Notamacropus eugenii: one gene and its partners. The main gene of each other region encodes a partner of the protein of the gene in region 2 in a complex. Links are inferred from orthologs where the notes say so. Each region holds a gene or a part of one and is shown on either strand. Other genes may lie near its edges. The genes, in order: PHLDB2, ERC1 and PPFIBP1.

Region 1 (3,748 bases), on a different chromosome or scaffold from region 2:
TTATTCTTCCACCTCCATAATAGATCCAGACTGCACCCCCTACAGTCAAGGTCTTGGGCCTCATCCTAAGAGCAACAGCTGCCAGCTGCTTGAAACAGATTGAAGATTGCAAATTGAGCAAAATGATGACTGTACTAAAACCAAACATCTCATTTTTCCATTTGTCAGTGAGACTGGGATTTGTAAACCACTAGGTCTCAAGAGGTGAAGGCTGCAATGGTTACTTACGTTACTCAAATGCAGTAATTTTTCTTCCTCCCAAGTAATAATGAATGTATGTCTTTTATGGATCATTCATAATACCTTTAAATGACTAAGTTAAAACCATGAAAAAGGTCACTGCTTTATTGTTTTTCAGAGAAACTTAGTCTTCTTCCTTACAAATATTTTTATCATCTGGGGAAGAGCACCCAGGAAATAAGTTCTTTTTAATACTAGACACCCTAAATGTTTATTTATCCCAAATTCAACAACTTGTTGCTATCCCACTAGAATCCAAAAATCCAACTGTTTTTGAGGCATACATGTAGCTATTCACACTACATTCAACTACCTCCTGGTGAGACTGAATTTAAGAATCCTGAAGAAAAGACATAGATCATTGAAACACTTATGCAAACCAAATCAATCAGAACCTCAAACCCAACATCTCAACACAACAAAAAATGTTATTCATATATAACTTGGGTGAGGGTCACAAATATTAACCACTTACATTTAACTGAGTATTATTTACAAAGAACAAAAGTATTCCTGCTGCACCTAGGTGGGGCAGCATTCACAGTGGTAAGTTACCTAATAGCTGGAGACCTTGGGGTGAGTTAGGGAAATGCAAGGTGAGAGATGAGCCTAGAGCAAAATGGTAAGGGCAGAGTTGGGAGGATAAAACGTTTAGTCACAGATTCAGAGACTTACACTTGGAAAGGATCTTAGAGGTCAACAAGTCCACCCCTTACTCCCATTTTACAGAGGAGCAAATTAAAGCCCGGTGAGGTTCCGTGCCGTGCCCTAGAGATCCCAAAGGAAATAGGGAGCAGAACTCTCGTTAGAACCCAAGTCCTTTGATTCCAAACCCATGACTTTTCTCCCCCAATCCCACTTAGCCTCTTTCTTTCACGTTTCTCTTTTGCATAAGAAGGGTAGATGGATTTATGGAGGAGGTAGATTCCATTTACAAAGCTCTTTAAAACAGGAAACCCCAGCCCTTGGAGCTACTGCCTGTCAGCCTTTTAATTTCCTGGCTCTGGCTGGGGTGAGCCAGGTCTTCTGCTTTAATAAGTGACTGCCTGGATCAGTATTATTAAATCTCCTAAACAACACAAAAAAAGTGAGCATCCCCCTCCTCAAGCGGCTGAGGCCAGCACGTAGTCTCGGTTTTCCTAACTGAACACCGGGATATGTCAAACAGGCAACAAAAGCCACGGTTGGCGTCTGGGGGGGTTGAAATTGAGAGGTAATTTACACGCCCGCAAAGTAAATAGGAAAAGTCCCAGCCGGGAAGCTCCCACCCAACTTCTCCGCCTGCAGCACAGCCTTGGTTCTCACTGCACCTCGGGGTAACCCCAGTTCTGCACTTCGGTCCCAAAGCCCCATTCGAAAGGAGGTGCTTCTGGGGTCCCTACAAATCTCTTAAATTCTCCCTCTGGGGGCTGTCGGGAGAGAATCAGGCAAAGTCTGTCTCCTATTTTACAAACGCAGCCGCCGCGCCCCCGACCCAACACATATTCTCACCCTAGGGAGCCCAAGATCAGAGGGAAAACCCCTTTAGCATCCGCTCCTCTCTCCCAACAGAGGAGGTCCCCCAACAGTCCCCACAGGTCCTTCTTGGTTCCCCCTCCAAGGCCATGCAACTCTTGGCTGCTTCTTATCCGACCCCGAGCCTTTCCCTACTCAGCGGAACCCCGTCCCCGCTTTTGTTCCCGCTGCTGGGGGTTAAAAAGAGCAAAGAAACTTCCCTGTCCTCACTAACCTTGTCATCCTTTCTGCAGCGGGTTCCTGGACGTCCCTCTCTCCCCAGTCTGCCTTTGCCCTGCCCTGCCCTGCCCCGCTCCACGAAATCCCAATCTCCGTCGGGACGCTCCAGCTGCAGCCCGCCCTCTTCGGAACCAGGCAGAGTAACGCTGGCCCCCCACCCAAGGGCCCGCCAGATCTCCTCCACCTCCTCCTACTCACTGCCCCGCAACCGGCTGCAACCAATTCCGGCCCGAGGGGGAGAGAGAGCCCCCCGCGCCCCCCACTGAGACCAGAAGAAAGTGCCCCACTCCCTTCCCACCTCCGCCATGGGGCAATAGTCCTACTCACCAGTCCGTGACGCCGACTCCCTAGCCCGGGGTAGGAAGGGAAGGGAAGGTATTTACCCGGAGCCCTGTGTGCCAGCTCCCCCCTCCTCCCTTCCAGTGGTTGGCTCTGCTTCTCCCCTCCCTCTCCAGTCCCCTTATTTATGACCCTGGTTAGGACTGTTGTTATTCCTATTAATGAAGATGGGGATAAAGACTTCTGGAGGCAGATTGCCAGGATGGCTGGTACTTGTTATTACGCCCCATTATAGAGAACTATCTGTTCAAAGCCTAGTCTGCAGCCGTTCATTAGGGATTTTTGCGGAAAAGGGGTGGGATAGTGTAGGATCTGCCCTTTACTCCACACCCGCTAATTGAACTTCTCCCGGGAAACTCCTAGTGACTGCAACCACCTTTTGACAGTTTGCCTGTGGGGCAGTTTTCTTGGTGTGTCATAAAGTTGTATACAGCGAGTTGGTACAGAGAGGAAGGAATAGTCTGTAAACTGATAAATAAAATAATAATAAAAATAAAACCCGTCCTAGCCAACACCTTCAACCTTTCCCAGTATACAGTGGGAAGAATATCTGAAATCCAATCCCACCACCTCTTGGATTACAAAGAGATAAGTAATTATAACAGCTCTTTTTGTGGTGTCCATCAACTGGAGAATGTTGGGGTTGTTTCATTCGGTGGTATTCTACTCTTTGTGACCCCATAGACCATATGGTCCATGAGGTTTTCCTGACAAAGATACTGGAGTGATTTGCCATTTCCTTCTCTAGTGCAGTAGTTAAGTGCGCTAGTAGTAAGTAGTAAGTCTGGTGCAGAGGTTAAGTGACTTGTCCAGGGTCACACATCCAGTAAGTGTCTGAGGCTAGGTTTGAATCCAGGTCTTCCTGACTCCAGGCTGGCACTTTATCCACTGAGTCCACCTAGCTGCCCATAGTAATTAGGACCTTGATAAATTCTTACCAGAACAAGAAAAGTTTGCAAGATTTGAGGGAATGGAGGTGAAAGAGAATCACATCGTTGTAAAATGTAAACTCCAGTAAGGATTCTTCCTTTTTCTCTTCCTTCCTTCCTTCCTGCCTGCCTGCCTTCCTTCCTTCCTTCCTTCCTTCCTTCCTTCCTTCCTTCCTTCCTTCCTTCCTTCCTTCCTTCCTTCCTTCCTTCATCTTTGTATCTTTAGTGGCTAGTCCTGTGCCTTGTGCATAATAGGTGTGTTCTGATTTGGATCTGACAGGTCAATTCCCTTTTTAATTTAAGTCTGATCTCAAAAAGTTCTTTCAACAATGAATAAAATAAGCTTTACTTAGCTATAACCAGGAAAGGATAAGCAACAATCGAGTGCTCCCGAAGTTGAAGCCCTGCGGATCACTTTTCCCTCCCTGGTGCCCTCCCCAACTATCTGCAGGCAGAGTATTTGCTTTGCACATTTCCTGCTCTCTCTCTCCATTATCCCTCCCATT
Region 2 (3,748 bases):
CAAACACACAACAATGTAGTGCAGGAAATAGTAAAAAGGAATGGAACTAAGATTTCATTGATTTAGGGAACTCCCTCTACCAAGGCAAGTAGATCTCTGCAACTTTTATGTAGTCTTAAAGAAAACTGCCTATTACACTGACAAATTAAGTGAATTGCCCAAGGTCACATCACAGGCAGGACTCGAATTCAGGTCTTTCTGGCTTCATAAAGCTAATTCTCCATTGTCTCTCAGTAGTAGCTTTAAAAATTAGTGAAAAGATTGACATCTTGTCTGTAATTCCACTAAGTAACAGAAAAAAACACCTTAATATCTGCATAAGAAAGACATGACGAGCAGCAAGTAGCACTGTTGGAAAAACAAGATATACAATTTCCTTCAGTCAAGCCATTCAACAGAAATAAGTGACCTTCATCTTCTGCCTACCTCACACTTGGAATGTGAATCAAAAATGTCAAGCTTCTCAAGGGCAAGCAATCTTTCAGGGGACTGGGGTTTTTTCTCTGTATCCCAAGAACCTAGAACGTGACAGGTATTTAATGCTTCTTAAATTCAAAAATAAAGATGCTTGTCCTAACAGCCTTGCGAATATCATTCTATTAGCATAACTTTACAAAATTTCATTTAACAACTTATTTCATATTTTGTTTGTGTCTACCCTAACTGAATAGTATAAAAAAATTTCAAAACTCTAAACTAGATATATAAATTTTAATTTTCTTGTTACCTCAAAAATAAAAACAAGTCACTGCATAATTCCACTTTATACTTGATTTCCTTAAAAATGATTAAACATTTTCTTTATAGTTACAATTGGAATCACACTTTGTCTCAGTTAATACTTATTACCTCCTCTTATTTCCAACCAATTTGTGCTATAAGCAATCCTCTTATTTATAAGATATGAAATAGCTTGCTCAGTTAAGTGAAAATAAGTAAAAATACCTATTTTACTGAAACTGACAGATGCCTTCTAAAAGTACTGCTCTAATTATTTTTGGTGGCATTGACTTACTTTCCAAAGTTAGATAAATCTAATGGAAATCATTCTCTACATTTCTTTTTGGAACTGTTTCTTATCCTGTAGAAGAAAACTACTGGAAGAAATATCAATCATACCTACTTCCATCCAACAATAAGTAGTAGGTAAGGTCAATTCATTGTGAACTCTAAAGAGAAAGGAGGCAAATCTAAGGCAGCAAAGTTTTATTTACTGTGCTAACAAGAAGTTTAAAACAGAAACGTAGGTAGCATCTTGGATAACATCTCCCTAGGATGGGATTTTCACATTTTCCTGGAAAATGAGATTACAAATTTTACCGGAAAACAATGCACAGTAAATACAAGAACACCAAAAACTTCTCCAAAGTTAAAGGGCCTATTTGGAGAAATACTTTATTTTTAAGCAGAGATTTAATTGAAATCTCTGCTCATCACAAAGAACAAGGTATCGATCCCTTAAAACCACACAGCTGTGTTTGTAACCGTTTTTCAAATACCCATTCCCAACCAACCCAGATTTCGGGGAATAAAGTGGCCAACACTCTCCGCCCGGCAGAGCGAGCTGTCATCCACAAGTGCCCGTGTCAGTGGCTTAGAGGCACGGCTCCCAGGGCCTCGCTGCTCCCGGCCGCCCCCCGCCTTAGAAACACACCCAGGAGCCCCGCGCAGGGCCAGGCAGCCAGGCTCTGGGAGCGGGCACAGGGGCGGTGGTCACCTCTGGGAAGCAGGTGTGGGCAGACCCAGCCCCCCTGGCCGGCCGCTCACCCAGGCCGGGCTTCTCTCACTCAGATCCATTCATCGCGGCACCTTCCCTCCGAATAATAGCGGCCCATTTTAAGATGCCAGCCGCAGGGGGTGGGGTGGGGGCGGGGGTCTGGAGGCGGGGAGAGGGATCCCCCGCTTCCTCAGCAGTTTCATTCACATCAGTCCCCTCTAAATCCCCAGAACGAACCTCGCGCTTGCCCCCCAGGCCTCCGCCCCCTGCCTCTCATCTCCCCCAAGCCTGCGCCCGGCCCAAGTCTGGCCCCGAGCTCCCCGATGCCCGCATCCTCCCTAGGTATCCCCACAAACCTGCCACCTCCGTCCCCGCCCAGTCTCGCGAGCCGATAGGGTGGGGCTGCCCGGCGGGGGAGGGGCGGCGGCCGCGGAGGAGAGGGGGAGGGGCGCGGAGGAGGGGGTCCCCGGCGCCTCACCTTCCAGCCCCACCTCCCTCCCCCGGGGCGCTAGGGCCGCCGCAGGCTCCGCCCGGGCCGAGACGCCGGAGGCAGCGAGCTCCGCAGGGGCGAGACGACGCTCGGGTGCCGGCCGAGCCGAGAGGGCGCCGCGGTGCGCCCAGCTCCGAGGGCCGCGGCGGCGGCGGCTGCTGCTGCTGCTGCTCCTGCTCCTGCCGCGGCTGCTCCTGCCGCTGCTTCGCCTCCGCCACCACCTCCCAGGCTGCTGTCGCTGTCGCCGCCGCCGCCGCCACAACCAGAGCACAGCCCAGGCGCCTGCCTACGTCACCGCGACCCGCCCAGTCCGCCGGGCGCTGAGGCGCAGGGAGCCCCTCCTCCTTCTGCCCCGCCCCGCTGCTTCCCCTTCGGCCAACGCCGACCTTCCAGGTCTCGCCCGAGGTCTCGCCCGAGCTCCCGCCGCACGCGCGCGCCGGAGGCTCCCGGGATCCTTCCAAGGCAAGGACGGGGGCGGGGCAAGTCGGCGACGGGGGCGCGCGCCGGGAGCGGGCACACGCACAGAGCCGACCGCCCTCCTCCACGGGCGGGCACGCGGCTCACACACACGGGAGACACATGACTGCCCTCCTCCCCCCGCAGATAGCCACCCGCACGTCCCAGGGCCTTCCTCCACGTTCCCTCCAAGGAGAGCCGCTCCAGGGTGAGGAGACCTGGGGGAGGTGAGAGAGAATGAGGACAGGGAGTTCGCGCCTCTGCGAGTGAGAAGGCTTGGGGGAGGGGCGGGGCCGGGGTCCTCCAGCCCTGGATGGTCTAGACCTGCTCCGGACCCGCATTCGCGCCTCTTCTCCGCCCCCCTCCGCTCCCGAGGCCGAGCAGTGCCGCCTGACCCTCCGGCACCTCGAGGATCGCCCGTCCCTACGAGGGTTGTGTCCGGAGGGAGCTGTGGACTTGGTGTCTGGGACCTGGGTTCAGATCCTCACCCTTTTCCCCTCTAAGCACGTCCCGTCCCCGCCGCTGGCCTCGTCTTTAAAGTGACCGTTGTGCGCCTCCCTCCGACCTTTACTGACCAAGTGATCACCCGATCCCCACCCCACACGCGCTCATCTCCCACCTCCCCGTCTTTCCCTTAGGGTCAGGCAGCCCCAGAACGCTCCCAGGAGGTGCCCGCGGCCCCACGTGTTTGATGGTTCCTAGGAGGACTCCCCCTGGAGTCTGGCTTGGCTTCAGTGGCCATGGTCTAGCCTAGCCTTAATGTTGCCTTTTAGCTTTGGCACTCTTAGGGAGTCACTACTGACTGGGTGACCGCAGCCTTGGCTTCCACGCGAAGTAGGTGATACTATCCGAGGCTGAAGGAAGGAGAGTGTAATGGAAAATAAAGAGGGGTGTCAGTGTAAAATTTTTGGCAGAGCCTCCCTCCGCACACTCAGGTTCCCCTTTGCAGACCCCTCCTTTCTCTCATTTGTGGCCCCCATCCAAATGATCTGAAAGCATTGATGTCTAGGATTCCCCAAGGGTAGCCTCTGCTCTCTTTACAATTATACAGGTTCCCCAGGTTCAACACATGAGCCTTTTTGTTT
Region 3 (3,748 bases), about 14 Mb from region 2:
AGGAGAGAGTTAATTTTCCTTGATGAATTCAAATCACCTGACCCAGATGTACTCCATCCACAGGTTCTAAAAAAAAAAAAAAAAATTGACAGACACAAAAACTACACTACTGTCAGTAATATTTGAAAGATCATGGAAAGCTAGAAGTATCCTCTAGAACAGTGGTTCATAAGTTTGGAGAGACTGGCAAATGTTGTCCCAATGTAGTCCTTCTAGCCTAAAAAATATTGGAGAACAGACCCTCCAGAATTTTGGACGATGAGTTTAACTTCACTTCCTGGTCAAATTCTAGATCAGATAAAGAGATGATTGTTGAATATCTAGATAGGAAAGCAGTAATTACAAAGAACCAACACAATTTTATAGAGAACAAGCCATGCCAAACTGATCAGATTTCTTTTTTTGATAGTAGATGAGAGAATGCTTTGGATGTAGTTTACCTAGAACATCTGCAGAGTTCTAAAAGCTCACCACCAAAAAGATTTATACTCAGTTAATGCATTTTTATATTGTTTCCTCACTAGAAAAATATTCAGAGGTCAAGTCACTGGCTGGGAAAATGCCCAGAAAAGGGAAAAGAAATAAGACTATAGAAGGTTACTTTCTTGGTGAACAGGCATTTCCTCCCTTCCTTTCTGATGAGGAAGAACAATGCTTACCATCAGGCAAAGACACAGAAATCAAGGCTTCTGTGTCCCAGCCCACTCAATGGGCACAGGCCATGGAAGAGCTCAAAAAGAATTTTGAAAATCAAGTTAGAGAGGTGGAGGAAAAGCTGGGAAGAGAAATGAGAGACATGAAGTCAAAGCATGAACAGCAAATCAGCTCCCTGCTAAAGGAGACCCAAAAAAATGTTGAAGAAAATAACACCTTGAAAACTAGCCTAACTCAATTGGCAAAAGAGGTTCAAAAAGCCAATGAGGAGAAGAATGCTTTCAAAAGCAGAATTAGCCAAATGGAAAAGGAGATTCAAAAGCTCACTGAAGAAAATAGTTCTTTCTTCCTCACTAGCAGAGAGTAAGAAAAATGAAGGCCTAGCCTGAATTGGAGATGCTGTGGGATACACACCTCCTCTGACCCAGCCAGATACACCAGAGGAAGTTTTATGAAGCAAGGACATTTGCCATTCTCTGGGACGGGGGAAATAAGTATGGTATTGAAATGGTAACATTGCTAAATAACTTCTGAGGCCAAACAGCCCCAAAGAGAGATTCCACAATTACAGAATAGAGAGTCCATAACAAAGTCCAACTGGACTTGGGGAAAACATGATGTAATAAAGAAAATACTGATCTTAAGAGTTAGAAGAACAGAGCTTGCATTCTAATTCCAACAATAACTACCTCTATAACCCAGGGACTGAACCTCTTGGCTTTTTTATCTGTAGAATAATAATAATCTTCATACTGCCTGCTTTACAAGACTGTGAGAGTGCAATTTTGCAAAAAACTTAAAAACATTGGAGAAATATGAGTGATTACTACTGTTCAATTTGATCTGAAATCTATCTTCTCTTAATTTTCATCTACTGATTCTAGAACTGATGAAGAACTGATTCTAAAACTGGTTCTCAAAGTGTGATCTTGGGAGCTCTTGGAAGTCGCTGAAGTCAAAACTATCATTATAATAATATTTTATACAATATATTTAAGTTCTTTTCTCTAACAAGAAACTACTGATAGATATAGCCGACATACACAAAAGCTCATTGGGCAGGCGAGGATCTCAATAATTTTAAAGAGCGTAAAGGGGGCCCTAAGACCAAAAAGTCAAAGAACCAGTCATTGTTCTAGTGTACTAAGTCTGACTCTGATCCTTCCATACGACAGACAGCCCTTCAAATGTTCTAAGGCAGTTATCACATTCCTTCTTTCCCCAAGTCTCCTCTTCTACAGACCAAACATTCTCATTTCCTTTAACTGTTTCTCATAGGGCATGGCTGCCTCATGCATCTCACCACTGTGACACGTTCCTCTAAACAACTCTTCTAGATTTTCAAAATCCCTCTTAGTGTCCACAAATGGACACTACTTTGCAATGGTCAATCAATCAATTATAAGATTTGGAAGCAAGAAGGGAACTGATATTTTCCAACCCCCATATACATATTTACATATATATGGGAAAACTGAGATTTAGCGATGGGAGTTGATATGTCCAAGATAAGCTACTATGAGGGTGTGATGAAACTGATCAAACCAATATAATCTCCTCCTTCACAGGAACAACTCATCACTGAGTCTGGATTTTAGAAGCTGGAGACTGATCTTACCTGCTATGATACCATCCATCTGCTCCAAAGCAGCTGCCAGCATATCGCTGGCATCACTCATCATTTTTCTAGTTTCTCAAGTGGGGAATGAAGTCAAATCTGGATCTGAAACAACAAAAAAAAATGATGGGGTTATTAACTGCACTCAGAAAAGTATCAACGCCTCCTTGACAAATTACGATTTCAGTTTTCAAGTCTCTATGCTAAGGGAGAAGTCCTGAGGTCATTTATTCACTTGTTCATTCAATAAATATTTATTAAAGACCACATGCTATTTGCAAGTATAATGATCAGATTCAGGAGGAGACACAGATGACTCTTATTAGTACTGCTTTACTAGTAATAGTTGACCTTGTGAGGCAGAAGCTCTTATTGCTCCATTTTCCAAATAAGGAAACTGAAGCTGAAAAAGGTTAAGTGACTTGCCCTGTCATACAGAGCCCAGGTCTGTAACAGAATTTGAATTTAGGTCTTCTTGACCAGTCCAGCATTCTATTCACTAGGCTATACACAACATCTCAGTCTAGTTGGTAACATATAGAACTATTAAGTATTTTTAACATTTTTGGGCAAGAGTCCACAATCTAGTCCAAAACTAGCCAACCACCCAACTTTTCACATTTTAAAATGCAATAAAACTATTTTAAAATATAAAAACCATGTGTAGCTCTAAGGCAGTCTAAAAACAGGTGGTAGAACTTGTCCCTCTTTCTGGGCTGAGCATTAATTTGCTCACCCCTGTTTTAGGGCATCAGTTCTCAAACATTTTAATTTGACGATCCCTTTATACTCTTAAAAATCACTGAGAATTTTTTGTCATTAATTACCTTAAGGTATATGCCTACTAGTGGGACCTCTGAGTCAAAGGGTAACAGTTAAGTAACATGTTTTGCATCATTCCAATCTTTTCCCCCAGAATGCTTGCACTAATTCACAATTCCTGCATTATGTGCCTGTTTTTCCACAAGCACCCTAACTTTGCCTGTTTCTATCTTTCTGCCATCTTTTCCAGTTTGCTGGGCATGAAGAGAAACCTCAGAGTTGTTTTGATTTGCATTTCCCTTATTATTAGTGACTTCGAATTTTCTTTCATACTGTTGTTAACAGTTTATAGTTATTTTGAGAACTATATACTCATAGTTTTTTCAGCACTAACCTATTGGGGAGTAACACTTTTAAAAAATGCTATAGTAATATTTTTTTTTTTGTATTTTTTATATCCCTGTGTATTCCTACAATTCTGCCCCATTGAACCTTTCCTTGTAACAAAGAAAAGCAGCCAAGAAAGATAAAGTGTCCCAGCAAAAGCATCTGATAGGGAGAATGTTTCATCAATTTTCTGGAATCAGAATCATTGCATTTAATTTGCATTCTGATATCTCCTGGTATTTTCATTTGCATTATTTTAGTCATAATTTTTACATTTATTTTATTTTCACTTCATTTTTTCAACAAGTCATCCAAATTTTCTCTGAA

The links.
Region 1: ERC1 (region 2) and PHLDB2 share a complex: the UniProt entries of both Homo sapiens proteins name them as parts of the cortical microtubule stabilization complex. The link is inferred for Notamacropus eugenii from reciprocal best matches to the Homo sapiens genes ERC1 and PHLDB2.
Region 3: ERC1 (region 2) and PPFIBP1 share a complex: the UniProt entries of both Homo sapiens proteins name them as parts of the cortical microtubule stabilization complex. The link is inferred for Notamacropus eugenii from reciprocal best matches to the Homo sapiens genes ERC1 and PPFIBP1.

Annotation. Positions count from the first base shown.
Region 1 is NC_092876.1:356,289,384-356,293,131, forward strand, and holds the start of PHLDB2 (pleckstrin homology-like domain family B member 2), read right to left. Parts: upstream 2,418-3,748; 5' UTR 2,302-2,417; intron 2,148-2,301; exon of another isoform or gene 1,970-2,147; intron 1-1,969. UniProt on the Homo sapiens protein: Seems to be involved in the assembly of the postsynaptic apparatus. May play a role in acetyl-choline receptor (AChR) aggregation in the postsynaptic membrane.
Region 2 is NC_092874.1:204,593,425-204,597,172, reverse strand, and holds the start of ERC1 (ELKS/Rab6-interacting/CAST family member 1), read right to left. Parts: upstream 2,337-3,748; 5' UTR 2,074-2,336; intron 521-2,073; exon of another isoform or gene 427-520; intron 1-426. UniProt on the Homo sapiens protein: Regulatory subunit of the IKK complex. Probably recruits IkappaBalpha/NFKBIA to the complex. May be involved in the organization of the cytomatrix at the nerve terminals active zone (CAZ) which regulates neurotransmitter release.
Region 3 is NC_092874.1:218,743,105-218,746,852, forward strand, and holds the start of PPFIBP1 (liprin-beta-1), read right to left. Parts: upstream 2,378-3,748; 5' UTR 2,337-2,377; coding exon 2,273-2,336; intron 1-2,272. UniProt on the Homo sapiens protein: May regulate the disassembly of focal adhesions. Did not bind receptor-like tyrosine phosphatases type 2A.